Rhinolophus ferrumequinum: one gene and its partners. The protein of the gene in region 1 purifies or fractionates together with the protein of each later gene. This does not show direct contact. Links are inferred from orthologs where the notes say so. Each region holds a gene or a part of one and is shown on either strand. Other genes may lie near its edges. The genes, in order: RAB7A, PLEKHM1, ARL8B and VDAC1.

Region 1 (7,113 bases):
TAGAAACATATGCTTTTTGGTAAATATATTTTATAATTTTTTAGAATCATGTATTTTCTTAATAGAGTATAAGGCATTTTTTACGAATAGACCCACACATTTTTATTTTTCTGTATTAAGAAGCCCAAAGTAGGTAAACTTAGATTCCCTTAACAATTAATGTTTCAGTGTTTCATCATACTTGGAAATAGATCTAGATATTCAATCATTTTTATCTTTTAATTTATTAATTCCCAAAAAAATATATTTACATTACTCATAAAAATTTTATGAGACATTAAACAGAGCCACTTGTTATAACTATCTTCCTGTTGACAAACCCTATAACAGAGATAATATGAACTTTTTTTATAAACCTAGATAAAAATAAAATATTAGATGTTAATAAATTTAAAGACATGTCTGTTTTCATTAAACTAAACAAGTTAGTTTCAATATTAAATATAGTTTCAGATCATGTGATCCTGAAAAATATGTGGGTTAGTTTCTGTTATGCTTCTTAATCTACATAAGTGCTTAATTTCTTTAAGCCATTTAAACAGAGCTCTTATATAAACTAATTTTAATAATTTCATCAGAGGTAGATATGAGTATACATACACATATATGAGGTCTGACAATTAAGTTTGCGAACTCATCCTAGAAAAAGTGCTACACACCTCATTGCTGAGTATCACTATGGTCACCTTCGAAGTACTCCCCTTGGGAAGCTATGCACTGATGCCAGCGCCTAGTCCACCCTTCAAAGCAATTTTGGAATTCCTTTTTCTGGAATGGCCATTAGAGCTGTCATTGTATTACCCTTGATGTCCTGAATATCATCAAAATATCTTCCTTTCAATATTTCCTTTATCTTCGGGTAAAGATAGAAGTCATTAGGGGCCAGATCAGGTGAGTAGGGAGGGTGTTCCAATACAGTTATTTGTTTACTGGCTGAAAACTCCCTCACAGACAGTGCCGTGTGAGCTGGTACATTGTCGTGATGCAAGAGCCATGAATTGTTGGCAAAAAGTTCAGGTTGTCTAACTTTTACATGCAGACGTTTCAGCACTTCCAAATAGTAAACTTGGTTAACTGTCCAGTTGGTACAAATTAGTAATGAATAATGCCTCTGATATCAAAAAAGTTAGCAACATCATCGCAACAAGTTCGCAAACTTAATTGTCAGACCTCCTGTAGACAGAGACATACAGAGACCTGATAGTTCAATCTAAAAAATTTAGCCATGAGACAGGTTTATAAGGCTAAAGAGAAAAAGCCATTAATTTATAACAGTAGGAATAAGTTAAGTTTATTGATCAGGTGGCTAAGGCTTTAAGATTTTCATCTCTCTTTGATAAACAAGTTTTAAGGAGACTGTGGGCAGGGCAGGGGTCTGCTTGGGAAAGGGAACCTTTCAGCAACTTGTATTTTTAAAAAGAGCTTTCTTTTCCAATTTTTTCTGTCTTTTTTGGGGTTAGTTGAGGCAGCTCAGGGTTGTGTTTACATTTTTGGTTATCTACTTCTACTTCCTATCAGACTTTTACTTAAAATTTCTAGGTATAGAGAGTAATCATCCATCAGGGGAAGTCATGTAGATCGGGCGATAAGGAGGGATATGTGGCAACAGCTGAAGGAGCATTTGATGGGCTTTGAAGAGAAGATGGTTTAAGGAATTTTGAAAGTAAGGGAGGGACGTTGCTTACACACGCCTTATCTTCTAATTTCTGGAGGTATTAAGTTTAGAATTATTTTCTTGGAGGGAGGCAATGGTTTTCTTCTGCTTTTGAGGCCTCAAAATACCAATTAAAGAAAGCCTCTCATTTTCTTTGGCGGTTTTGAAAACCTTGGCATTTGAATTGAGATCTCAAATAAGCTAATTTGGAAATTTCAAAGGTACCCCATTTTGGCCAAAAAATGTTTAAAATTGTCCCGTGTAATTGTTGTCCAGAGATTAAACCATTTCCAGCTATCAGGACGACAAATTTTTTTTAACATAAATCTTGTAGGGTTGCTGGATGGCGGCTAGCCAGCAGAGGTCATTTTAGAACTAGAATTATTTACTATGTGAAGGCGTCCCTACCAGCATAACTTGAGAAGATTTTTATCTAATATTTTACGGGTAACTCAGACTCTTGTGACCCCTATGGGGGCACCTCGTCCCTCTATGAAAAGCCTTATAAAGGGGTCCTTCCCTTAAGAATAAAACTGTCAGAATAAAACTCTCAGATCTCAACCAAAAGCATAGGGGGATGGAGGATTTGAGAGGACTCACCCATGCATGCTTCCCCACAGTGGGGGAAGGCAACTTGAGCTCAAAGAGCTTTGAAGGCAAGCGTAATGTAGTGAGTTCCACAACAAAGGGAGATTAGGGAGCTGCTTCAAATCCCATCTTCATCACCATTCATGTAAACAAAGTCCAGAGATACCTTTTTCCAAATAAATTTAGTTTATTCAGATAATGACTTGTAAACCAGGAAACATAGCTCTTGATGTGAACCAAGAATACATTCCAAAATGGAGGGGATAGGGCAGGGTTTATAAAGGCAAAAGTTGCAAGCTGTTGATCAAAGAAATGGGTTCTAGGGGAAACAAGACCATAAACTTACATATGTTTTCTGATTGATGGGGGCAACTGGACATTCATTCAATGGTTGGCTGACTCAGTGATCAAGTAAGTGGGGTTGTGAGGTGAGAACAATAGGTAATATGTGGTTAATCATTTATCGAGTCCTCGTTTCAGCCCAGGCCTGTAGAACAAAAAGGGTGTCTTTGATCACACATTGTATGGATGAAAAATGCGGTTCTATGAAAAGTAACCTCAAGGGTGATCTGATTATAAATTCCCTGTTGGGCAGGTCATGAGGGGTAGTCATACCCCAGGCCTATATGTTCTTTATTGAAAGGTTTTAAGCCAGCCCTGTCCATTGTTCTTGTGCATCTAGGTTAACACACCTTTTAATGCCAAAAGAATACCCCTTAAAGGGGGTATTAATTCTCAAGAGAGCTTGTAATCTTGTTAACTATCCTGCAATCCAATCCTCAATATGCTTTCTGCAGTCTTCCCTACGTCCCCTCCTTAATTTCAAATGCATAAAAGAAGTTGCAAAAATGTTATTTTCCAGAGCATTTTAGATCTTGCTCCCTGGCATATGTAGTTAGGCTCAAATAAACTTTCATAAAAATTCTCTACAGGTTTGGATATTCTTACGTTGACAATAGTACAGGGAGTATTATTCATCTGATAGCTACAGCAGTACAATCAATTGATACAGGAGTACAATCAAACAATACAATCAACACAAGGGGGCTGTTGGCTCTGCAGGCCCATCTGGAGCCCAGAAGGGCAACGTTATGCCCTGCAAGCAGCTTCAGAGCTCAAGCTGTAAAAATCCAAATATTGCGCCACAAATTATGAAATTAATATTCTTATATTCTTAAATCCTCGCTTTTCTGCAAGAGAAAGTGTTCTGTTAATGTGTAATTCTCCTGTGTCTCTACCACCTTGCTAGATCATTGGTGCAGTCATTTCCAGTTTACTAGAAAGATCAAACACATTGGTATCAGACATATTTGGTTCACATCCCTGCTTTACCGCTTAGTGTGAGCTAGGTCCAAGGTTACCTGTGCTGGGTCTCAGTTCTCTATTTCCAAAATGGTTAAAATAGAGACAATCCAAAGGTGTAGTATGGGTGCACAATAGGTGCTCAGTAAATATGGATGCCCTTCCTCTCCCTCTGTAAATTTGTGAAATAACTACTGCCTTGTCTCCCTGGGAAAACCCCCTTCCTAGAGCAAACTTTGTTGATGCTGAAATGTTCGGCACACAGGCCTACTTGGTTGACTGATCAGTGTCTCCTGGAAAGTGACACTAATGGAAGGTTCAATTTATCCTCTCTTTTCTTCCCCTAGCACTCTTATTCCAGGGGAAAGGGGGATGACTGAAACATCGGTTTTGGGGTTCAACATAGCGCCGTCCTGCTCCTTGCACGAGACTCAAAGATGGCGACAACCTTCCGGGGGCAGACATATTTGTAGCACGTGATCCAGGCTCAGGCCAAAGGAGGCCGAACGTGACGCGGGGTTAAGGCGGGGCTCCTCCCCCGCACCCTTGGCGTGTAGCGACTCGTGACAGGTACTTCCGCTCGGGGTCGCGGCGGTGGCGGAAGTGGGAGCGGAGTCAGATTCTTGGCCGTAAAGCCTGAGGCGGCGGCTGCGGCGGCGTTGGAGGTTTAGAGAGCGCCGAGCAGGCCTTTCAAACCGGAACTTGGACTTCTCTGCGCCTGTCCTCCCTTGCGTCTCCTCGGCGGGAGCCCTTGTGACGCGCCCAGCCCGGAGCCCCCAGCGGAGCGGCAGCGGTAAGCAGCGGGCCCAGCCTGGCGTGTGGCCCAGCCCCATCCCCCTCCTCAGCCCCTCGGTCGCCAGGGCTTCGCGTCATCCCTTTCTTGGGTAGGCTCTGGGCCCAGCCCCGACCTCGCGGGGAATGTCCTTGTTGCTAAGGGCCCAGGAGCAGGCCCGGACCGCTCCTGGCCGGGGAGAGGTCAGAGGTTGCCGAAACCGGCCACCCGGGAAGGTGTCCTGACTTGGGTGGCCGCTGGGCACTGCGGACCCTGTGCTGCGGCGAAAAGAGCTAGCCGGTTGAGTTCGTTCGAGCGGCGAAGTGGAGGATGTCAAAGCCGACCCCCCGGTGCCGTGTCTGGCGGTGGACGCGATCCAGGCGCCACCAACCGCGCGGGCATTGGTAAAAGGCGCCCAGGGCTGAGCCACGTTCCCATCTGTTTCTTCAGTTGAACAGCCTGACCCTGTTAGTGAGAGAGGTTTCCTGACAGCAACTAAATCAAGGCAGTGAGTCAGGTCACGTGCACTGGGCTCGCTTCAAACACTTGTATACATGTGATACGCCTTAGGCTCTGGGAGACGGGGAACTTTTTATCATAAACTTGTTAATGGCAAATGCTGAAAGAAATTTTAAAATTATATTGTGGGAAAGGTGGTGGTTGACTGTAGAGCTGTGTTTGAATTCCAACCGTCTCTTACTCCATACTGATTCCAAAAAGTGGGAAAATCGAGAACAATAATAGCAAACATTTGAGCCTTATTGTATGCTGGACAGCCTGGCAAGACCTTTGCACAAGTTGTTATGTTTAATTCTCAGAACAACCTTCATAAAACTTTAGTACATAGGTGTCCAGCCAGTTGGTTCTTTCCTGTTGAAAATACTGTATTTTCTCTTTAGATTTCAATAGAACAGGCTCTTGTCTCTTCCTTAAGCAACTGATTTAGTCAAATGACTTCTCATCCATGGATCAATAAAATCTATTAGTGTGTTTATCTTTTCAGACTTGGGAGAATTTGTTCAGGTTTAAGTCCAAGAACTGGAAAGTGAGATTGTGAGTACTTCTGAAGACACTGGCCAAAGAGTAAAGCTTAATACTCGCAGCCCTATTATATTCTACTTTTTGTTTTAACTTTGCCACCCAGCTTGTTATATTTAAGTGGGTGATAAGTATGGTAGCTTTAAATAATATTTGGTTTTAGGGGAGAGTAATGATGAGCACCTTTTCATTCATTCATCAAATGTTTTTAGAGTACTGTTCTTCCCCGAAAATAAGACCTAGCCAGACCATCAGCTCTAATGGGTCTTTTGGAGCAAAAATTAATATAAGACCCGGTCTTATTTTAATATAATAATTAATATTAAATTAATATTAATACTAAAATAAGATCGGGTATAATATGTAATACCGAGTCTTATATAATATAATATATAATGCTGGGTCTTGTATTAGTTTTTTTTTTTTTTTTTTTTTTTTGCGTGTTGATTTTTTTTTTTTTTAAATTTATTGGGGTGACAATTGTTATTAAAATTACATAGATTTCAGGTGTGCAATTCTATATCACATCATGTATAAATTACATTGTGTGTTCACCACCCAGTGTATTAGTTTTTACTCCAAAAGAAGCATAAGAGCTGATGGTCCGGCTAGGTCTTATTTTCGGGGAAACACGGTATCAGGCATTGCTGGATATTGACTCAGGGAGAAAGGCATTTTTCCTGTCCTCAAGGAATTTAAAGATGGTGAGTGATCATGGTCTGGAATTGTGTGGTGGAATGGTGGTAGAACTTGAGGCTTTTGGAAAGAGGAGTTGTTTCTCATTTCTCATCCCTGCAAGTGAATCTGCAGTTATCCAGACAGTCTGGTGTTCTGGCTAACTTGAAGGCTTTGTTACTTTTAACAACGTTTATATGGTTTGTTTTTGAAGAGAGTATGGAAAATAATATTACGTTTTGAACTATCATTCTTTTGAAGAGTAACCTTCGACACTAAACTTATTTCTCTTTTTGGTCTGGTGGCATTTTTTGTTCATGCAAGAGGGAGTTCATGTCACTGCCATTTTACACTGCAAATGTTAGCTGTTGCATGCTCTTTGTGCAAAGGTACATTTGGCATGCTGGATTTTTCTTCTTCAGCTGATGAAGAAAGTTTAACGTAGTGCCTATCAGTCATAGTACCAGTATCATCCTAGGTAAAACCTTATGCCATCTATGTGCCACAACTGTTATGGCTCCCTTTCTTTAAAAGGGGATGTGAGTTTGCATTTGTGGTAGAACTGCATGAGTAAACAAACAGAAGGGTGGAGTGTAGCAGAAGGCATTCAAAAAAACAGGTTTTTTAGTATATCCTTCCAGGTACTTGTTAGCAACCACTTGGTACAAATTTTTTTTTTTTTTTTGGGTGCCAACCGGGCATAAGTCCCAGCCTCATAATCAAAGGGCATTGCTTTATAGTCAAGTGTGGCATTGAATCCAGTTCCTGACCCCACAGTCAAGTGCATTAAAAAGGTTTTGGTTATTTGATTAGCTTTTAATAAATCTCCGAAGAGATCTGCACTAATAATATTTTCACCCTTACATTAGACGTTAGCCTTCTGATGCAAAGGTGTAGCAAACCCAGACCACACATCTATGACAGTCATCTTATGTACTGTTCCTCTCTGAAATTTGACATGTTTACCATTATTCCTGGGATAAATTGTCTTCACTCTCCGTCTATATAATTCAACACATATGGCTAAGAAGGATTTGACCAGATATTGGGCTGGGAGTTACAGATGCAAAGTCTTCCATGGAAG
Region 2 (7,999 bases), on another chromosome or scaffold:
CCAAGGTGGCTCACTGGCACGGCTGTCCAGGTGGTGCCCGTTGTTGGAGGGCGGCCTCAGTTCCTCCCCATATGGACCTGTCCACATGCTACTTGACTGAATGTCTTCACAACACAATGCTGGCCTTCCTCCAGAGGGAGCCATCTAAGAGACAGACACAGAGACACAAGTTACCCTTTTTGTGACCTAGCTCAGAAGCTACACAGCATCACTTCCGCTACACAACATGAATAGTTACCATAGCAGTCAGTCACTAAATCTAGCTCTCATGCAAGGGGAGGGGATTCAGGCCCCACCTTTTGAAGAAAAAAGAGTCAAAGAACTTGTGGACATATTTTAAAACCGCCACAGACAGGAAAAAAGAAACCACTCTAGATTATGTCCAGCAAAAAAATATATATATATTTTAAGATTTTATAGGTGCTTATCGTCGGAGGAACTAAGGTGCTGAAAGTTGGGGGTGGGCCAATTGCACCACTACCTTCGGGTTCCTTTGCCATAGCTGCTTTCCACAGATTCAAAGTCGCTGCTGCCACTCAGCAATCAGGAAACTTTGGGAAACCACTGCTGAGGCGATTGCAATGCCAAGGCTGCTGACAGGTGGGGAATGTGGAGTCCGATATGCAGCCTGCATGTCTGCTGCTACAGACCAGAAAAGGATGACTTCCACCTCCTTTCCACCTTCCAAGTTTCACACAAGTACTTTGCTTTGGCAGAACCCTGCTGTCAAGGGAATCTGTGAAATGTGCTTCCCGGCCATCTAGCATCTGCAGAGAAGGGGGAAGGAATGGGTGTCAAGAGCCAACCGACACTAGCCAGCATACCTCCATACACAGGTATGGTGAGGAGACGCACCTGTACTTGAAGGGGTCCTGGCGCCCTACTCCTTTTTTTGTAGGCTTATAGGTGTCCATGGCTTGGTAAAAGGTGGGTGGTGTCTACATGGAGTAACATGGTGGCGAGCTGGCTAAGTTGGAGACTTGGAAAGGTGTCATTCTAGCTGGGCAGCAGGTGAGATACTGAATGCTGACGGAATACAGCCATCTCCAGAGATGACCAGAGAAACACCTGGAGTTGATCCTTAGTTTGGTCTCTGGAATGTTCTCACTGAAGTGAAACAGTGGGTGGGCTGCAGGCAATATAGTGAGGGAGAAAATACAGCCCCCATTCAAAAGGGCTGCCAGAGAAAAGGTATCCATAGATAAATAGAATTTCTGAAGATGTGGTCTATGGACCTCAATACTCAACCATCCCTGGGATGCATATTGAAAAGGCTGATTTGGGGAAGGAAAGAAAGAAGGGAGGGAAGGAGAAAAGGCTAATCTTGGACACCTCCCCTTGTCAAAAAACAAACAAAGCCAGACACTACTTAAAGCGGTAAGGACAGATTTCAATCAGTCATGTACTACTGCACTAGTACAGGGGAAAGAGCCCATCGTGAATTTTGTACTCTAAAGGAAAATCACTTAAAGAGAGCCGCTAATGAATGCCACCGTCACCACTGAAATGCAGGCCTATGGGTGGAAAGTGTATTCGAGGGTAGTGATTCATGGTAAGTTGTTTCTTCCAGGCCCTAAAAGGGACTATTTAATGTCCAGCTAACCGGGCTTATTTTACTAGAAGACTGGGTCTTCTATAAGACTGGGTCTTCTATTAATTTTTGCTCCAAAAGATGCATTAGAGCTGATGTTTGGCTAGGTCTTACTTTTGGGGAAACAGGGTAGTTTTCCCAATTAATAGATAAAGGAAACTGAGAGGGTGGGAGGGGGAGAATAACTTGTGCAAGTTGACAAATTCCATATATTAGTCACCGCTCTTTATGTTCCAAGTGAAATATATCCAAGCAAAATATGCTTAAACCAAAAATGGCAGACAGTATATATCGTCTCATATAATATAACCAGGAAGCCTAAGACTTTAAAACTGGCTGCATCCAGGACTCAAACAACGGTATCCTCTTCCCATCTGTCCCTCGACTCTGCTTTCCTTTGTGATGGCTTCAGCGTCTGGAGGACTCATACCCCTTGGCTGCAAAGATGGTCATTAATAATTCCTATTCTACACCACTAACTGGAGAGCAAATCTCTTATTAGAGGAAAGCCCAGTTCTCAAAAGCTCTCTGATTGGCTTGCTTGGCCCATGTGTCTGAGGAAAGAAGACTCTGACTGGGCAGCCATAGTCACGTGCACATGCAGGGGTAGGGCCTCAAACCAGTACTTTCTTCCCATTTAATCACAGGTTGCAGAGGAGGCTGACCAAAAGTCAAGAGGGAGTTTCTATAACAAGCAGAGAAGGGATTGAGATGGCGAGTGGAGGATCAGAGACTGAAGATAGTTTGAACTAACGCTTAAGCCTAAACTCTTAACAGGTTTTCACAAGTTCATAGATGCTATTGTAAGTAAAATTCATTTCAAAGCGGTTGTGCCTTCATGGTAATTTTTTGTCCTTATGCATTTTCCCCCCAATTAATGGATAGTAAGGTATGACTACTGTCATGAGGAGGTCCAAAGACCATTTTGTTTTTTATTATAAGAAAGGGATTCTTAACTGAGGATGTGCTCCAGAGAGAAGAGAGAAAGCAAGAAGAGAAGGGAGCCAGGAAAAGGCCCAACCCAGGAAGCAGTGAGGGGACGTTCCAGGATGGCAGCTGCGTGACAGGCTGAGGAGGTTACTAGAACACACTGGAGAACAGAACCCAGAGAGAGGGCCCTGAGGGAAAAGGGAGGAGGACTGAGGGTGTGATCATGGCACACTGTACAGAAAGACAAGGCGAGGAAATTAACAATGAATGTAACAAAGTACATTATTAAACTTAGAAGTGAGCAATATTTACATAGTCACACATCTGTAAACACTATTAACTGACTGGAAATAGTAATAGTTAACTGAACGTTAAGAATGGACTGGGGGTTGAGGTTATAAAAGGACTAAGTCCTTGCTTATGTTACTAGGAATTCAGTAGACCAAATCTAAAATGGCTAAATCGAGACCTAGAAGTGCCTGAGACATAGAGATAAGCACCAGAAGATTCAGCTAAAAGCCTCCCCCCAGAAATAACCAGCCCCAATGAGCTGGCTGGAGAGGGCAGAAGGGTTGGTGCAAGGAACTGCCGTGGATCATTGTATTTTATCACCCCGTCATTTCATGTAGTACTATTTCAACTGTGAACTATGTATCCGGTACGTTTTCTTCGTTTTTCAGTTCATTATTTGTGATTTTTTTTGTCCAGCTTTATTGAGGTATAATTGACAGTAATAAAAACTCTTAAATCCATTTTTTAAAAGAGAGCGTGAGAAGAACCAGCCTCCTACAACAGAACCCAGAAGAACACCAGCTATTCCCGCAAGGACACAGATAGTTGCACTAATACTACTTGGACAAATCCAATCAGATGCCAAGTAAGGATATATCTGGGGCTCAAACAAAAAGGATGTCACTCCAGTGCTCAGAAGAGCACTTAAAACGCAGGGACCCAACTGGATAGGGAAGGTGAGAACTGCCAGAACTGTAATAATAGCCAGTCATTTTCCAGTGCTTACTACAGACCAAAAACTGCCCTAAGGCTATTACCTTATTAAGTCCTCGTGTCAACTGATATTCTTCCCCCAACTTACAGATGAGGAACTAGGGCTCAGAGAGCTTTGGGAAGTTCCCTGCAGTCACCCACTCGAGCCCCTCTGCCTGAGGCTAATGGGCCATGTGTGGTGTGACTTGACTTCTCTTTTCTGAACATCAGTAAAATTCAATTGAGAAGTTCCATCTTAAAGGCCATCTCAAGGGACCTGTGAGAAATACACTATGATACGGTAATACCGCCTTGTGAATGTATGATCTATGGAAAGATCCCTGTAGTTTTACCTGCTGATGCTGACTGTTGGAGAATAAATTTTGGATATTTTTCCCCAAAAAAATAAAAATAAATAAATAAATAAATAAATAAAAAAAAAAAAAAAAAGAAATACACTATGACAGTTGTCTTGGCCCCTCACTTGTTGGGTTGCCCTGGGCCCCCACTGTTAGGGAAGACTCAGAAAACAGCCGGGGATAGAGCTGGGATTCAAACCTAAGCCTTCCTGGCTCCAAAGGCGTCTTGCTTTCACTGAACTATTATGCCACCTCCCCAACTAGAATCAGAAAGAGCTGGGTGAGAATCCTGCTTCTAACCATTTATTAGTTGTGTGGCCTTGAGCCCCCAAGTTACTCAACTTCTCTCAAGCCTGTTTTCTTATCTGTGCTATGGGTGCAACAATGGCACCTCCCTTCCACAGGGTTGGTAAGGACAAAGCACAGTTCCTACCTGGCAAACAGTAGGAGCTTCTGTTTTCCACGAACGGTTAAATTCCTAACCATTTGTCGCCTAGGTTAGAGCGGGGGCCCTCATATTTCACCAAGTTTTTATTTCTAATCTTCCTGCTCTGCCATCGACGGTAGTGAAGGCACTCAGCATTCATCCAGGCTAAAACCGAGAAGGGGTGGTTATCACACCTGGAGGATTTCTGAAGGGGCAACAGCCCCCACACAGTGGGGGGCCACACACCAACAGCTGATTTTATACGTGGAAACAGGCACTGGGATCCCAGAAAGGCTGATGGAGCACAGGACCCCCCGCACCCCACCCCCACGCCACCCGCGGCAGAGATCAGTGGAGCTTCCAGGAACTGGCTTGTTCCCCAGCCAGCCCTGTAGCCACCCCGGACGCCCCCCTGGACCTACATCTAGTGGACCCTAAGGGAAGCGAGCAGTGAGGACGCATTCCGTCGGACGCCAGGGGCCACGCCTCTCCGGTAACAGGTGTAACGGATGTAATGCTCGTACCCTAACGGGGTCCCGAGCCTCCGAAGACCAAGCACCTGTTCGGGCGCTGCGAAGCCTGGGCAGCGGGAGCGCTGGCCCCGCCCCAGGGTTCCTTTGGGCTCCGCGATTGGCTCCGCGGGCCGGGGCGGGGCCGGAAACTGAGCCGACGTGATGGCGTCAGGCGCCGTGGGCGCCACTTCCTGTTGTCAGTAGGCTGGAGGCCGCCGTGGAGGATTTGGTGCTGCCCTGGCCGGGAGTACCTCGACCCTGCTCCCCGCTCCCCTTGGTGAGTTTGTCGTCGGGGGCGAGGAGGGGAGGCGGGGCCGGGACGCGAACGGGCGATGGGCCAGCAGCCTTCGCCGGATCCCAAACCCGTTTGCCTTGAGACTGTCCTGCTTCAGAGTCCTCACCCTTCCCAGCCCAAGCCCCTTGCCCCCACTGCCCACTCGGTTCCTGGCCTTCGTCTCGCACTGGCACCGCTGGCCCGTCGCTACATCTTCTCCCACCCATGACCTGACTCCAGCCCTTACCCCCACCCCCTCACCACCGGTCTTGCGTAAATGCAGCCTCACCTTTGACCCCACTCTAGCCAAGTTCCAACCTCCATCGGCCACATCCCCCCGCCTCCCTCTAACTCAGCTCATCCTCACCTCCCAACCCCTTTGGCAATCCTAATGCTCCACGCAAACCTCGAGACCCACCACTGTGGTTTGCCCTTTTTTGGATCAGCTTTCTTATCCCTATCTCCCATCACCCCCTGCTCAGCTCTCCATGGCCTGCTCATTGTAGACACCCCACCTCTACCCCACTCGCATTTAAGACCCAGCCAAAGTAGATGCCCTTTGGAGCGCACTCCTTTCTTGATAACTGTGCTCACAGCCCTGTCCCAGGTCTTACAAGTATGTATCTTCTTGTCCTCACAGACTCAACTCCTAACTTCCGGCCCATCATACACTTCTTTCCATCTCGAACCCCCCGAGAACCCTCATCACGTACGTCTTGCTAAACTGCCCCCAACTTTTGCTGCCCCAGTTCCTACCACCCTTACCCAATCTTATTTAAAGTGAGGTCTTTATGTCCTTTCACCTCTGCTGTCCCCACCTCTGACTCTTCACCCCAACTCGGCACCCATTCTCCCCTGACCAGTCTGCGTCAATCTGAGAACTTAATGCAGAGTCCCCCGTCAGCCCCACCAGCTGCCCTTCAACAGCCAAATCTCGCGGTCCTTGCTCAGAGCCAGGCAGATAGAGACTGAGCAGCCTTGACTGGCACGTGCAGGGCCTCAGATGGTAAGTAAGTGTGGAGGAGCAGAGATTCCCCTTGGGGCCGGGGATTTTCCTAGGTGTCTGGTCCTTGTGCCGAACCCCAGGGATTATGGTTCTAGCATTTGTATTTAGTTACTTGTGCTGGCTGCTGGAGTGACAGGTATCTTCCAAGTGCCTGGAAGGTGAGGAACGGCCACTCCTCCAGCTCAGTGAGCCTAGCGCCACAGAAGCCATCACTTACTTTTGGCTGGTGTTCCGGCCTTGCAGAAACTCAGGGAGTACCGCCGTGTGGGTTGGCGGTGGTCCCAGAACCGTGTCCATGTGTGTTGTCCTGGCACTTGTAGAGGACTTTCAGCCAGTGCTCCCCCCGCCAGAGCTGATAACAGATTAGTCCCCAAACTGAACACGGAATCCGGTGGCTGCCAGAGATGATGTACATGTTGTAAAGAGTAGAGCTGAGTGGTCCTGGGGAGGCTGAGGCCTCGCTGTGTATGGAGGATGTTGAATAGCTTCCTCTTTTTGCAGGGTCTGGATCATTGCGTTTTGGCCACCTTGGTTTCCTGTGAACACAGGGAGCCGAGTTATCTCAGAGTAGATGAGGCAGTGGGACATTCCAGAAGCATCCTGGCCCCATGCTCAGCATTTATCATCTGGGTTTATTGGGTGCACATTTCCTCAAAGTTCTGGTGACCTGTTCAGAGGGTTGCCCATTTGACAGCAAATTTAAAGGGCTCCAAACAGGACCATTGTGTTTGCTTGCTATTTATAGTCTTGTTCCTTTGAAAATTGAATGCCCTTCTACCTCCTATATCTCCCCATTAAGGTGTGATGTAGATGAATGTTTTTCAGCCTCTTGGCAATTTGATTTAATGGAAGGAGTTCCACAATGCCCCTTTCCCCCACTGAAGAGTTGTATACTTCAACTTTCCACAGTGTGTGAACAGGAGATACCTGCCCTGAGCCTTATTTTTATTTTATTCATCAGTTCATTCAGCAGGTATTTTTTTAGCACCCACCACTGTGTGCTATGTGCACTGTTCTAGTCACTAGAAGTGCAATGGTGATGAGTCGGGCAGAGTACGTGTTTTCAGTCATTCAGAGTTTGGCCCTTGCTAGAATCCTAAGGATATTGAACAAGAATATGGGGGGAGCGGTGTGTTAATTGGATAAAAGGAAAGAAGGAAGAAAAAAAGCTACCCAGTGTTAATCGACTTCACATTTCTTGCCTCACCCACTAGCCCTTGGTCTGGGAATCAAGCTAGAAGTTTCTCACCCTCCAGCTGATATTCAATTGCTTGAAAGGCAGTTCCCCCAGAACACCCCCTCCATCCCACCCCTCACTGCTCCAGAAATCCAGTATTCTTCAGGTAGAAGGGGTGTTGTTTACTCGTTCATCAGTCACATGGCTAAAAGATCAGCTGCCTTTCTGAATCAGAGAATAACTTTGTCATTCTTTCCAACTGAAAACCATGACTCATCAGTTGGTACAGCAGCTGGACGCCTTACACACCAGGCTGTTGTTCTGAACAGCCAGGTACAGGATTGGGTTTAGGCTGTAGAGAGGAGGCTGTGGGGACTGGCTGAGAAGTGCCTAAGAAGAGGTTACTGTTTACTGATGGCTGGAGTGTTTTGAAAGCAGTGAAGCCCGGTCATCCATTTCTTCTTTTAACGTAAGTCTCATATAATCTATTTTTCTCTTTCTTCCTTGGTCTCTGGAGGAAGTGAAATCGGACATATATTTAGAATGCTGGGCAGCATAATGAAGAAAAACAACCAGAACGATTCCTTCCTGTGTATTGGAACATTTAGGAAAGGACAACTCTGAAACTTGGGTACCATGGAAAGGACCTGGGCTCTGCTACTTGGGGCTACAGATCTGATTGGCAAAATTGTTTCGTGTTTATTTTAAGCCTGAGTTGATAAAATGGAGCTTGTAAGTG
Region 3 (7,212 bases), on another chromosome or scaffold:
GCCTTTAGACACTTTTCTCCACTGTCAAATGGCCATGTGGATGTTTCTGAGCTCCACTGATGACTCTTAGGTTGTGTGTGTGTGTGTGTGTGTGTGTGTGTGTGTGTGTGTGTGTCAGTCATTCGATGTTTCTTTGTTTCTTTTAAATATATAAAATCATGGACTATTGAAGGTGAAAAAGTTATCTCGGGGATGAATAGTCAGAACCCAGGGGATTTTTAAGGCCTGCTGTATGGCCTATTCTGTATGATACAGTAAGGGTAGATACATGACATCATGCACTTGTCCAAACCCATAGCATGTACAACACAAAAATAAACAGTAACGTAAACTGTAGCCTTTAGTTAATAATAACGTAGCAATGTTGGTTCATGAATTGGAACAAATGGAACAAAGATAATTTGAGAAGCTGTGAGAGGGAAAGAGGGTTATATCTGCTTACTTTCCCATAAAACTTAAACTCCCCTAAAAAAAAAAAAAGGCTATTCAAAAAGAGAATGATTTCCTTTCCCATGCTGGAATCCACTCCTGAACATTTCAGTCAAGCTGCTATGAAATCATAAGATTTCAGAGATAAGAGGTTCTTAACACCAAGGTTGTGGCTTTGATTCCCCCAGAGATAAGAGGTTCTTAAATTTTATCTTATCCAAACCCTTATTTTCTAGATAGGGAAACCAAAGCCCAGAGAGGGGAAGTGACTTGCCCAGGATCACACAGCTATTTCATTTTTAAAGCCAGGATATGAACTTTTTATTCAAGATAAGGGTTTTCCTTCCTGGCAGTGCTCTTGACACTCCCACACACTGCAGTTAATATTTGTTTTCTACCTTCAAAAGAATGTTTAGTTTCTTAAATTTTTCTTAAAAGTCCTTAATTTTTTTTAAAAAAATGGGATTGACTATCTCAGTTTTAGAATAAAGAGGCATGTTCCTTCTAAAGAGAACTCCCTAACTAGCCTTGCTTCTCTTTTCCTGAGGCCAACACTCTCCTTCCAAAAGACAGAACTGACATTCTGCCCCTTGCAGATGTGGGCGGGTCATCTGTATGACCTGGAGTGACATCCATGGCTAATGAAAAATTCCGGCCCCGTGACTGACTTGGCCAAAATGCAGAAGTGTCTCGTGGGTAAGGCCCAGGTGCTGGCATTTTAAGATGCTAGGAGGCTGATAATCAGGCCAGTGGGAACTTACGGAATGTGTCACACCCATTTTATTCCTTGTCCAAAAATGAAGCTAGCAAAACAAGTGCCTACGAGGTGAGATTTCAGGATCCCCAGACTGACCGACTCGTTTACTCAAAATAAGTTTATTGCCAAGTAGAAATGGCCCCTGTCCTTAAGGAGATTACACTTAAAATCAGGTTCCTAATTGGGATATTTCCTTCTCTGGGCCTCAGTTTTCTGATAGCTAAATGAGAATGGTCTTCCAGGATGCGTCCAGCTCCGATGCCATGAAATTTTATCTTTCTTGCACAGCCGTCATACAGCAAAATTAGTAGTAAAATCACGAGAAAATGAGGAGTTTTGAGTATTGCCTTTAATAAAACATCTTTACAAGTTAAGTAAAGAAGGAAGCTGTAGAATAATTCCTACAACATATTCTTATTTTGGTATATATGCAAAAATTCCCCACCCCATGTATGTGCATGTGTTTATTTGATCAAAAAAGAGTAAACTATTAAAATGGGTTACTTCAGAGATGAATATTGAGGGTGCCAAGAGATGGATGACCTTTTTCTTATCACACCTCTGTCCTGTTTGAATTTCTACAACCATCATATTGCGTGCTTTTATGATAAAAAAATAAATTTTAAAGTTTTTAAAGTGGGAAACTAGAATCTGGAGGTGAGAAGTCACTTTCCATTAACTAATGATTTTAGAGGTGAAGGCAATTACAGTGAGTGTAAAGGCTGAGGAATATTCCATTTCTCACTTTGCACTTAGCTCGTTTAGTTGTTTACTCATTAATTGTCGAAGTGCTTACAAAGTCGAGGTCCCAGATTCCATCATCCTTTAAAGCGATACAATAGCCTCCTCACCTATCACTGTCTCTGCTCATTCCCTCTGTATGAATTTGCTAGAGCTGCCGTAACAAAGGACCACAAGTGGGTGGCTTAAAACCACAGACAAGCACGACTGGGTTGACTCCGGGGGCACGGTGAGGAGGGACATGAGGCTGAACTGGGTCCTGACAGTACTGTCCATCTGCCTGAGCGCCCTGGCGACAGCCGCGGGGGCCGAGGACAAAAGGAAGCTGCAGATCGGGGTCAAGAAGCGATCAAATCGCGCAAGGGGGATGTCCTGCACATGCACTACACGGGGAAGCTGGAAGATGGGAAGGAGTTTGACAGCAGCCTGCCCCAGAAACAGCCCTTTGTCTTCTCCCTGGGCACGGGCCAGGTCATCAAGGGCTGGGACCGGGGGCTGCTGGGGATGTGTGAGGGGGAAAAGCGGAAGCTGGTGATCCCATCAGAGCTGGGGTATGGAGAGCGGGGAGCCCCCCCAACGATTCCAGGTGGTGCAACCCTGGTGTTCGAGGTGGAACTGCTCAAAATCGAGCGACGTTCAGAACTGTAGCCAAGCTGGGGAGGGGCAGCGGAGAGGCCATCAGGGACCAGACTGTTTAAAAACAAAACAAAACAAAACAAAAAACTTAAAGCTAAAAACAAAAAAACCCACAGACATTTATTGTCTAGGGTTCTGGAGGCTAGAAGTCCAAGACCAAGGTGTCGGCAAGGTTGATTTTTTTGAGACTGTGAGAGAGTCTGTTCTATGCCTTGTCCCAGCTCCCGGTGGTTTGCTGGCACCTGCAATACTTCCATCTCTGCCTCTGTTGCCACATGGCCTTCTCCCCTCATGTCTGGGTCTCTTCTCCTCTTATAAGGACACCAGTGGACTAAGGACCCACCCTACTCCAGTATGACCATAACTGATAGCAATTGCCCAATTTCCAAACAAGATCCTGGGGTTAGGACTCCATCTCTTTTGGGGGAACACAGTTCAAACCTCAAAGCTTCCTAGCGTATTCCATGGAGCTGCCAGAGCGAACTTTTAAAAATATAAATTGGTTCAATCTCCTGGCTTCCCAGCACAGCATGGATAAAATCAATCTAGGGCCACTATGCCCTCCTTGATTCGGTGCCTGCCTCTTTCTTCATCCACATCCTGCCCACGCCCTGCCTTATTAATCTGAGCCAACCACACTGCTGTACTTCTATTTCTAGAGCATCCCATGCTCCTTCCCCCTCAGGGTCTTTGCTGTTCCTTCAGTCTGGAAGGTGATTCCACCAGGCGTGCACCTGACACTCTTTCTCACTTCTTCCCAAACCAGGACCACTCCCTCCCAGAGGTCTACTCTGACCCTAACTAGAGCAGAAGACACTCCTGTGTCCTATTGTTTGGTTCTCTTTATAAAGTTCAGTACTACTATATATATATATATATATGGAAATATTACATGTCTCCTCACTAGAATGTGAGCTCCATGAGGGCAGAGATTTTTTTTAAATCTGAAAACCTTGCAGATGTTTTTGTTTACTTTTCAATTAAATGAAACTTTTGAACAGGCAACTCATTTACATGGTTGCAAGTCAAAATGATATAAAAAGATATCTAGAGGAGTCTCATTCCCATTCCTGCCTCCAGCTATACAGGTTCCTCGACCCCCATAGGAAAACATTTTTATTAGTCTTCCAGTACACACATTTGCATATATTTACATATACATTCTTATTTTCCCAACTTACACCAAAAATATCATTATATACATAGTCTGCACTTTACATATATGTTTCTTGAAAGAATTTCCTGGACTTCATTACAAATCGGTTTATAAATCAGAGACCAGCCTCGTTGACATACTATACTTGATTTAATCAGCTCCCTATTGCTAAACACCTGGCTTTCCATCTTTGGCTATCACCAAAAATGTAGGGCAGGGATTTTTATGCTGAACGCCGCCCCCCTTCCCCGCCCCCGTCTCGAACTCCTTCTGCATAGAGTAGGCTGTCAATAAACAATTGTAGAAAGAATGAATGATGAATTCACTAACACATTTATGAGCGCAGGAGGGCGTGGTAGAAAAAAAGGCACCCAAGGCCGGCCCGCTGGTACGCGGTGCCGCGCGGAGATCCCACCAGGTGGCGCTGCAGGCGGCGGGCGAGCCTGGCCCGGCCGGCCTCGCCGCTCCTGCCGTGGGCGCCGACGGCGGCGCGTGGACGAGCGTGGGGGGAGGGCGAGTCATATGACCCGCTCGGCTTCCTGGCTCCGGCTGTCGCCGCCCGCCCGTGTCTGCCAGTGTCGCGCCGGGGCCCCGAGGAGCCGTTAGGGGGTCCGGGCCGAGGCCCGCTCGTGTGGAAGCCGCCGCCGCCGCCCGCCCGCCCGCCCGCGCGTCCGCCCTCCGACCCGGCCGCCATCATGCTGGCGCTCATCTCCCGCCTGCTGGACTGGTTCCGCTCGCTCTTCTGGAAGGAGGAGATGGAGCTGACGCTCGTGGGGCTGCAGTACTCGGGCAAGACCACCTTCGTCAATGTCATCGCGGTGAGGACCGCCCGCTCCCCGCCGGGGCTGTGGCCGCGACTCCGGCCCGAGGGGCGGGTTGGGGCCGCTGGGGCGCGACGGGGCCCCGGGGTGGGGGTGGGGGCAGCCGTGCCCGGACCTCCCCGACGGCCAGGATTTGGAGTTTCCCGCGTGTCGGTGGCTGAGGGGTGGCGCGGAGGTCGGCGGCCGGAGGGTTATGCCCACGTCGTCGTCTCCTTCCCGGGGCTGTGCCGTCGACGCGGCCGGGGCTCGGGAAGGGCGAACTGGGGCTCGTCGCGGTTCTGAAGCGCTTGGGGCGCTGGGGTTCCTCGGGTTTGCTCGGGGGCAGCCGAGGGTTGACTCCAGCCGGGGACTTGCCCGGAGCCCGTCGGTCCTGTGAGAAAGCGGGAGAATTCAGTCTCCCCCCAGACGCCCCTCGGGACGCAGGCCCCGTGCGGACCTTCCTGAGTTCTGTGCGCGGCTTGTGCCCTGTAACTCGGCGACGGGCTCCCGCTCGTTCCCACAGGGACGACACCGAGCGGGGGGGGGGGACTTCCGGCCGGTCCACAGCCGGGCCCGGCGTTCACGCCCGGCAGTTCGGGGTCCCTGCCCTTCCGGGGCTCGTGGTCGGGGCTGAAGCCGGGGGACTGGACGGGTCTGCCGTCCGCAGAGAGCGCACGGCCTTGGGAAGCGGCGGGTCGTTTGTGAGGGTCTCTCGTACTTGAAGGGACTGGGCAGGAGCAGAGCTTATTCCAGGCCCGGGAGGGGCGTCTGGGAGGGACGTTGCCCCGGGAACCCGCGCACAGCGTGGTGCTCCTCCAGGAGTGATTGAGGGGAAGGATGGTTATTAAGTTTTGCTTGTTTGTGGAAGGAATGAGAGCAAAACATGCAAAGAGTCTCGTCGGTCTTTATTTACAGCCCAGGAGCTGCGTGACTCAGTCTTAGCTGGTAGGGGCTTGAGCCGCTTTGGAACTGTTCTCAAGAGAGATGGCAGCGCTTCATCCACCGTGGAGATGAGGCTGGACTCTTATTTACTAGGAGACTAGCTGTCTAACTGGTTTGGTGACAGGCGTGATTCAAACACAGCTCCCTTATTGGAGAACATGTGTGACTTGTGACTCTTAGTCCTTGCAGTGATGGAGCAACAGGAATGAGTAAGACTTGGAGGGAAAGAGATTGAGCAGAAATCTAAATTGGAAGAATGTCGCACATAAGTATAAAGAAAATTTATCTACTTGTTTGGCTCTTTTTGTAGTATGATTTTATTTGGCTTGAGATGACTGCCTTTCAACAGGTGTAGTAGAGTGGAATGTGTATCTAATGCTGAAATTAAGGGAGAACTTTGGACTCAGTATCCATATTAGAATTTTTATAGGTTATGGAAAAGATCGCCTGAGTGCAGATGAGCTCAGTTAACTGTAAATTCTCTGATATTCCTTTGAAATAAGAATTGGAGTCTCCTTGTAAATCCTGTCCTTTTGACAAGACTGCATTAATTTATGGTGTAGATAGGTGCATTGCTACAATCAGTTACGTTTGTTGCAGAGAAGTAGTTATGCTTGGGAAACAAACAAAAGTGTGGTAAATCCCTGAGGAACTCAGAGCAGTGCAGCTTCATGTCATGAGCACCCTGGCTGTGCCATCTGGCTCTGCCACTTAGCAGCCTTCTATCCTCTTTCGGTCCTTCCTTTCTGGCGTGTTAATTGGAGATAATAGTATGTTTCTTACAGACTTGCTCTGAGGAGTAAATGAAATGACAGATGTGAAGTGACTGGTAGCATGGTGCCTGCCCATTAGAAGGGGCTAGGTAAATGGGAACTATTTGTAGTGGGTATGTATACTCCTTTAATGCAGTGTTTTGAAAAATACTGACAAGGGGATTAGCTGGGGTCATTTCTTCTTTAAATCTCTGTATACATCCAGATGTGGCCTCCATTACTGGATCTGTGGATTATAGCGAGTAACACGGCAACACACACCCTTTTTTTTCCCTTTGCATTAGATTACTTTTAACAACAAAACTTCTGGAAAGCCATTGAATTTAAAGTGAACCAGTGGTTCCACTATTATTTTAACGTGAGACTTTTTTCTTTTTTTTTTTAAATTTTAATGAGGTTGGGTAGCTTCCTTTAAGAAAAAATCTGAACTGTAGTTGCCTATTTGTTGACTAGGATGTTGGAAAAAAGAGACCACTAAATTTCATACTTTTTAAAATTCAGACTCTAACCTAATCTGTGATTCTCATAGAATATATTGAGGATGAGGAAAAGGTTAGTAATTAAAGGTGATTTTTGCAGATTTTTAGATAGAAACGGTGTGTCCAAAACAGTAAAGTTAGCATTATCTTTTTAAAAAATCAATAGTGCTACTCTTTGTATTTTGTATAAAATGTTTGTTTTATAGATTAAATACAGATGTGTTGAGCACTATGTGTCACTTTTATTAAAACTCAACAAGTAACTTCCCAGGTATGAAAGTTTCAGGTGAAGCCAATTTTCTTTTGGGAAAAATCAACTTTTGTAAACATCAAATTGTGGCTCTATCTTCTGTCTTAAAAGTTAAAAAAAAAATAACATGTTATTTAATTTACTCAAATGGTTTGTGAAGCTGATATATGTAACATTTGGACCATTCTTCAATTAAGCAGTTTACTTAAAGAGAGTTTCAGTCATAAAATTCATATTCTTATGGTTTTA
Region 4 (7,236 bases), on another chromosome or scaffold:
CAGACCCTGAACCCCAGCTCCACTGCTGCTGAGCTGTGTGACCTTGGATGCTTACCTCACCTCTCTGTGCTCAAGCCTTCTGAACCATGAAATGGAAGCAACAGTCACTCTCTCCCAGGGCTCGTACGATGATGGATTCAATGTCACAGAACATATGTCAAGCCCCCAGGAGGGTGCTGAGCGTGCATTCAATAAACAGTGACTGTGATGATGATGACACTTTCATACTGGAGAAACTGAGGCACAGGACAGTGACTAGATCTGTACTAGACCCTACGGCTGTGTTGCAAGCTCCATCTGCTCTCCAGGACTCTTTCCAGTACAGTCTGGGTAAAGCGCTTAGATTCCCACTCACCCTCACCCTCCTGAGAGCAAGCAGGAAATGGGAGCATTGTGCCCAGGCCCAGCTGAGGACCCCACTGCTCACCTTTCTTCAGGGGCTACCAGACGAGTCACAGGCCCTGTGAGCCCTGAGGGGCTGCTTGCAGGCTTGCTGGCCCTCAGCCACACACATACCTCTCAGTCTCTACCATCAAAGCTATCACACTGTGAGAGCAACGCCATCCAGGGCACCGTGGACTTCAGCACCTAGGGGGCATCTGACCAGGGAAGGTGGGGGTGAATGTGCCTTGTCAACACCAACTACGCAGTGGTCGTCCACATCCGCCTAGAGTCCCGCCGGACCAGAAGCTCACGGGCCCCGTGAGCCCATGTCTGTGTCTATCAAGAGCCCTGCCTATCGCTTTAGAAGAGCAGAAATAAAACTAATCAACTGAGAGCAGCCCCTGGCCCCAGGGTCAAGCACTTCATTCAGGTCAACTCCAGCAGAAGCCCGTGGCCCATTCACCGTACGAGGGACGAGTTGACAGCCCAAGGCCTTTAGGAGCATCCCAGCCACCCGTGTCACCCGCCCTGCAAACCCAGAAACACTAGTTCAACAAGTTTCCCACAGGACTTGGAAAGTCACAGAATGAAGGTAACGCCTTTGAAGGAGTTATTTCAAATGAGGGAAGTTTCGCCTCTCACTGCTCTAGGGCTGTATAAACCCTGGCAACCTGACTATGTGTGACTCTCTGCTAGGCAAGGCTACTTCCTGGAAGTGAGTGAGATGCATGTGTCCCTCCAAAAGGATGTCCAGGATCAAGGCGCTATGGTCTGGTCCTGCAGTCGCTCCACACGCCCATTCAATAACTCCACAAATCCTTAATGAGCAACTACTATAAGCCACATGTTGGAACAGCAAAAGCTATGTTGTCCATAAGCTTGAGTCAACTCCTAGATAAAAAGCAAAGTGCATGTACCCCACAGACCCTTCTTAAGTACCTACTGTGTGCCAGGTAGCACCACAGGCACCAAAAACAAAGCCACATAGGGCTTATGCCTGAGGGTGTAGAAACTCAGTCTACAGCTAAGGTGGACAGAAAGAAGGTAGGCCCTGGGCAGTCTACCTTGGCCTTGCCAACAGCATATTAGGCAAAGGAGCCCATTTCCCCATCTCCTCTGGAGAGGGTAGTCAAGAGGATAGGGGCCTCAGGTGGAACAGGCCTACCTCTGCACCCACATTCGACTTCCAGTTCCACCTGGATCCTGTCTGTAAACTTCAGGGATTTTTCATGAATTATCATGAAAGTTACTCAATGCCTAGCACACAAATGCTTAATATTACCTAATATGTAAAATATCAGGGGCAGTGTTTTTTGAATCTTTTCCAGAACACCACGTGGAGCAAACCAGTCTCCCCAAAAAGGCTTGTCAAGGCTTCTACCGAGGCTTTCTCCTTGCCAGGCACTGTTCTGAAGGCTTCTTGTCCATCAACTCATTTTATTCCCAAAAACCCAACGAAGGAGAGGTATAATTGCTCCCAACCTATAGATGGGAAAACTGAGGTGTGGTATCCTCCCAGCTGTGTGACCTTGGACAAGTCACTTGGGCTGCGGGCCTCAAATCGAAAGCGGTGAACCAGTTTCGAGAATGCACCGCCTCATTTGGGTAATGAATGAGCGCCGGAACCAGGAACCCCTGCTTAGGCCGAGAGACCGGCCACATCGCTCCGCGGGGCCTCCTTTTCCTAGGCCTAACCTTCTGCCCAGGGCCCAGCCCCAGACCCCGCGGCCTAAGTCAATTCTCCGCCTCCCGTTCCGCCCCGAAGGCGCTGGCACGCGCGGACAGTGTCCGGCGCCAGCTTCTCCGGGCGTAGGCCGGACAGGGCGTGAGGGACTGGGGGCGCCGGGCCATGGTCGCCACGGTCGCCCCGCGGCAACAGCGCGACCTGCATACGTCCGTGGGCCCGGCCCCGCGAGCTTGGGTAACAAACAGGTCCCTGCCCGACCCGCGCTTGGCGGCATCGAGGGCCAGAGGGCGCCGCCGGGAAAGGTCACCTAGACCTGCAGCCGGCCGGGCCTCCACGCGGCGGCCCGTGTCCCTCCGCCCTAAGTCCCCGCGGGCTCTGGCCCCAAGCCGCAGGCACCTCCGGATGCCCGGCCTCTCGCTCCCCAACCCCGGCCCGCTCGCCACCCGCCCGCGCGGCCTGCTCTGCAGCCACTGACCCGCCAGGCCCGCGGGCCGCTCCCGCTCCCTCCCCGGCCCTCGCCGGTCCGTCCCCCATCTCCTCCCCGACTCCCCAGGGACGAGGCGCACAGCCCGGGGCGCAGGCAGAGCCAGGGCCCTTCGGCTGCGCCTACCTCGGAGGCGGTGGCGATGGGCTCGGCGGCGGCCGCGGAGGGGGCTGCAGCGCTGGGAACTGGGAGAGCAGCGGGGCCGAGGGCGGAGCGGCGCGGACGGCGGCGGCGCGGACCCGCCCCGACCCTGCGCGTCCCGCCCGGCGAGCTCCGCCCCGGGGCCCGCCCCGGACACCACCCAGGCCCACGCCGGGTCCCGGTCCGGGTCCTGAGCCCCGCACGCACCTTTCTGCGCCCCTCAGTGCCCGCTGCGGACGCCAGAGCCCACGGGCGTGCGCGGGCTTGCGTGAGGGCCCGCGTGCGCCCGGGCCCGGGGCGGCGGGGCTGACGTGCGCGCGGTGTGTGCGTGCGCAGGAACACGCGTGCCGGCCGCCGGCGCCCGCCAGTCTCTGCTGGAAATCCCGCCGGGTTGACGCATCCGGGATGGGGGGGCGGGGGGCTGTTCCGGTTAACGGAGCGTCGGCCAGGGATCCTCTGAGCTAACGCAGACACGCGGGGTCCTGGACCTCGTGCTCGGCCTTGCGTTTGGGAGACAACCCCTCTCCCCCAGGAGCTGATGTGGCTGGCGGGTGGCGCTGGACCCGGACCCAGCCTGGGTGGACGAGGTGACCGCGGGTACCCCAGAGCAAAGCCAGCGCGGGGCTTTAAATCGGGCTCCCAGGCCCCGATTGGGGATCAGGCGCCCGGGCAGCGCAGATACAGAGTAGCGGCCACGACTGTTACTTCTTCGCTCCCGACACATTGTTTCCGGCGCCGCGGACCCTTCTCTACGCCGGGCCCGGCTCGTAGAGCCCTGCGGTGCCAGGGGGCAGCGCCCAGAAAACCCCTGTGCGCCAAGTTTGCAGTCCAAATTAGCAGTTTTCCCCGGTAGCGAAGCTGCTAGCAGTCATTTTCGGAGCGTTTGAGAAGTGAAAAAAGCAAATTGCGTTTTGCAAGAACATCTGCTGGGTCTCATGGTGCTCGGGAGGTACCACAGGTTACAACCAGCCCATGGCCTCTTGGGGAACCCGGAACCGCGTCCACCCGGGCCCTGCCTCCTCGCTGAGCTCGGATAAAGCGCCTAGAGTCACCCCGCTAGGCCTACGCGGGTGGTCTCCATCACCACTGAGTGTCAACGGCATCCCACGCGAGGGCCATCCCAAGCCGACTTCCCCAAGCCGCCTTCAAGAATTAAGGAATTCGTGGCGTGAAGATTCTGCACAGCCTTCGCCTTCAGCCAATTTTCTTCAAGTCTTGAGGCGTCTAGGGCCCCGTACTCCGGACTACAGAGAGAACACTCGCTCACAACCAGCTGTGGCACAAGTTAAAGGAGTAGGCACGCTTCTGGGGCGTCCCAAGAAGCAATCAGACCGGCTGCTGGAAAGAGTCGGCAAACTTAAATGAGCAAGTGGCAACTGGTGTTCCAATGGAGGCAGCTGTTGAAGAAGGGAGCTTAAGAGGGGGAAGGGGTGCTGACAGGGGGCCCTGGGCTCTGTAGGGGGCTCAGGTCTGATTGAACATGTGAGGAGTTGCCCCTGAACCCCTCGAGGCCCTGGAGAGTAGAGGACCTATGCTAGAACTCTCCCCAGGACCATAAGGTTCTCCATGGCTGACTGGGAACTCAGGGCTTCCCAACCTGGCTGTCCCCACCCCACACACAAAGGCCCCAGCCCACTTTTGGACAGGGTCAGGCAGGGAAAGTCACAAAGTCACCCACAAGTGCAATGAGGCAGTTTGGGAGGACAGGCCTCGGGAAGTAGGGCAGGACCAGGTGGTTCTGTCGAGAGAGGGGATTCTGGAAATCTCACATGATCTAGGAGCAGGTGCCACACCTTGGGTCAGGGAAGCCCAAATGTGCTGCTTAGACCAAATGTCCAAGCTGCTCCCTCCCCTCTACCAGCACCTCCCTGCCAATCCCCCTTCCAGGACCCGCAACCTGAGGAGAGTTCCCCATGCCCCACCTGCTCTGGGTCCCTTCTGGGACTCCCCTACCTGCCGCTTTCAGATTAATCACCTGAGCACCCTTTGGGTCACTTACTGGCTGTGTGACCCTGCACTGTGGGCCTAACCTCTCAGCTTCAACTTCAGGGGGTTGTTGTGAGTTTAAAATGGATTATGTAACAAGTAAGCACTCAGAAAACGGTGAAGAAATCAACTGGGACATAGAAGCCCTCAGACCCTAGTGTTGACCTCTCACCACTGTAGTCCTGAGGGAAGAGCTGAGCCAAGGCAATTTGTCATACCAGGCTTACCGACCCCAGCCCCACCTCCACTCTGGCTGCCACTGCTGATTGGGCCAGGGATGGACACCTGACCTGAGACCAGCCAATCAGGTCCTCTCTCGTAAATTTGAAGTAAGAAACCCAGGTAAGGTGTAACAGTTTTTCTTTGGAGGAATGACCTTTCTCCTCTCAGTACACAATCCTCATGCAGCTGACTCCAGGGCCATTCTTGAGGTAGCCCTGTGACTCACCCTGGCCAATCAATACACTGTACTCCCCTGGCCACAGGGATGGACCAGTGAGACCCAGTCAGACTTCCTGGGGCTATTGAGGTAAATACTTTAAAAATGAACTCGGCCCACAAAAGAGAGACACCAGGTCCTGGGGACAACATGTCCTGGACCTAGCCAGGCCTCACACCACCCTCTGTGCTATCTGGGCTGACAAATTCCTTTTTACTTAGTCCTGTTTGGATTAGGTTTTCTTCCAGGTCCTACCTAATTCAGTTCCACTCCTCCCTTCAACATCCAGAGAAGATGAGATTTTTCTTTTTAATGCTGGAATGGTTGACTGGTGTAAGAATATTTCATTCTAGGGAAATTCTTATATCTAGCTTACAGGCATAACGTTTCTACTATATAGGTATATAGATATTTACAAAGAACCTATGTTGAAACACTTTCCACACTTCTTTTCAGGGCCAGATGTACCTCAATAAGATTTCTTAATACCGTCTTTGCCAAGTAATCAGAACAGAAAGATAAGGTCTATGAAAGTAGAAATGGAAGATGTAATATATATAATTTTTAAAGAGAAAAATATTCTGCTTGTAACCAGCATGAATGAATTAGAATATAAAACTGAATTGTCATAAAACCTAACCTTTCTAACCATATTCCAGACTATAGTCTAGGTAGGAGCTAGGCTTGAGGATGTGTGGTCAAGAATCTCAGGGTGTACTCTCCACATTGTGCCCTGACACTCATCTTCCAGGGAAGGACCTAGCCTGGCCTCCAGGTTCTGACTGACATGGAGAGCAGTAGTCAGCTGGGAAAACAGGATGAAAACCATCCCAAGATGAGCATAATAAAAATATTTCTCTTGCGTACCCCAAAATATGAGGTGTCCTAGATCTAAAATAGTTCCAAGGAGTTCTAATATCATATCCATGTTTTTACAGAGAGAGAGAGAGAAAAGTGGAAAGAAATGCATTAAGTGTTAGAGAAAATTGTGTTTCAATTTAGGAGACTATGATTTTTTTCCTTTGGCCCTTTCTATATTTCCCATTCTATTAATGATACAATACCTTTACTATAAAAAGAGAGAAATTTTTAAGAAAGCCAAACGAGGTTGATCAGGAGAGGCTGTGTAAACTGACACAATCCTGGAAAGCACTTAGGTGACATGTAATAAGAATCAAAACCTAAAACCTACTCCCTCTGACTGTTTCTGGGAACCTATGCTATGGCAATAATCCCAGCCTAGCTTCAGGCAGATGTATAGCAGCCCAGAATGGAACATAGCCTGGTTTCCAGCTTCAGCAAACTGAAGCACATCCCCTCTATAGATTCAGAGCCTTGAGGAAAGAAGGTTACAAAGACTTCCTGTGGGGAAATATTTCTGTTACAATGCTAACTGAGGGCAACCATATATTTAGTATTAATGCAACCACAACATTAAAAATGAGAGAGACAAACCATGGTAGACAGAATAATGACTTCCCATAGATACCCATGTCCTAATCACCCAAACTTATAAATATGTTACTTTGCATGTCAAAAGGAACTTAATAAATGTGATTATATGAAGGATCTTTTTTTTTTTTTTTAAGATTTTATTGAGGAAGGGGAACAGGACTTTATTGGGGAACAGTGTGTACTTCCAGGACTTTTTCCAAGTCAAGTTGCCGTCCCCTCAATCTTAGTTGTGGAGGGTGCCGTTCAGCTTCAAGTTGTTGTCCTTTCAGTCTTAGTTGTGGAGGGCGCAGCTCAGCTCCAGTTCCACTTGCCGTTGTTAGTTGCAGGGGGAGCAGCCCACCATCCCTTGCGGGAGTCGAAGAGTCAAACCGGCAACCCTGTGGTTGAGAGGATGCACTCCAACCCACTGAGTCATCCGGGAGCTCAGCGGCAGCTCAGCTCAAGGTGCTGTGTTCAATCTTAGTTGCAGGGGGCTCTGCCCACCATCCCTTGCGGGAGTCGAGGAGTTGAACTGGCAACCTTGTGGTTGAGAACCCCCTGGCCCATGTGGGAATCGAACCAGCAGCCTTCCGCGTTAGGAGCACAGAGCTCCAACCACCTGAGCCACGGGACTGGCCCCCTGTGTAAAGGATCTTGAAATGGAGAAATTAACCTGGATTG

What was found.
Region 2: the proteins of RAB7A (region 1) and PLEKHM1 purify together in Homo sapiens (affinity purification with western blotting; 5 studies listed by BioGRID and IntAct, with this or other methods). This does not show direct contact. The link is inferred for Rhinolophus ferrumequinum from reciprocal best matches to the Homo sapiens genes RAB7A and PLEKHM1.
Region 3: the proteins of RAB7A (region 1) and ARL8B purify together in Homo sapiens (affinity purification with mass spectrometry; 4 studies listed by BioGRID and IntAct, with this or other methods). This does not show direct contact. The link is inferred for Rhinolophus ferrumequinum from reciprocal best matches to the Homo sapiens genes RAB7A and ARL8B.
Region 4: the proteins of RAB7A (region 1) and VDAC1 purify together in Homo sapiens (affinity purification with mass spectrometry; 3 studies listed by BioGRID and IntAct, with this or other methods). This does not show direct contact. The link is inferred for Rhinolophus ferrumequinum from reciprocal best matches to the Homo sapiens genes RAB7A and VDAC1.

What each region holds. Positions count from the first base shown.
Region 1 is NC_046302.1:580,175-587,287, reverse strand, and holds the start of RAB7A (ras-related protein Rab-7a), read left to right. Parts: upstream 1-4,112; 5' UTR 4,113-4,337; intron 4,338-7,113.
Region 2 is NC_046304.1:40,195,037-40,203,035, reverse strand, and holds the start of PLEKHM1 (pleckstrin homology domain-containing family M member 1), read left to right. Parts: upstream 1-4,982; 5' UTR 4,983-5,080; intron 5,081-7,596; exon of another isoform or gene 7,597-7,729; intron 7,730-7,999. UniProt on the Homo sapiens protein: Acts as a multivalent adapter protein that regulates Rab7-dependent and HOPS complex-dependent fusion events in the endolysosomal system and couples autophagic and the endocytic trafficking pathways.
Region 3 is NC_046300.1:5,006,783-5,013,994, forward strand, and holds the start of ARL8B (ADP-ribosylation factor-like protein 8B), read left to right. Parts: upstream 1-4,198; 5' UTR 4,199-4,414; coding exon 4,415-4,537; intron 4,538-7,212. UniProt on the Homo sapiens protein: Small GTPase which cycles between active GTP-bound and inactive GDP-bound states.
Region 4 is NC_046307.1:10,067,118-10,074,353, forward strand, and holds the start of VDAC1 (voltage-dependent anion-selective channel protein 1), read right to left. Parts: upstream 3,020-7,236; 5' UTR 2,904-3,019; intron 2,819-2,903; exon of another isoform or gene 2,682-2,818; intron 1-2,681. UniProt on the Homo sapiens protein: Non-selective voltage-gated ion channel that mediates the transport of anions and cations through the mitochondrion outer membrane and plasma membrane.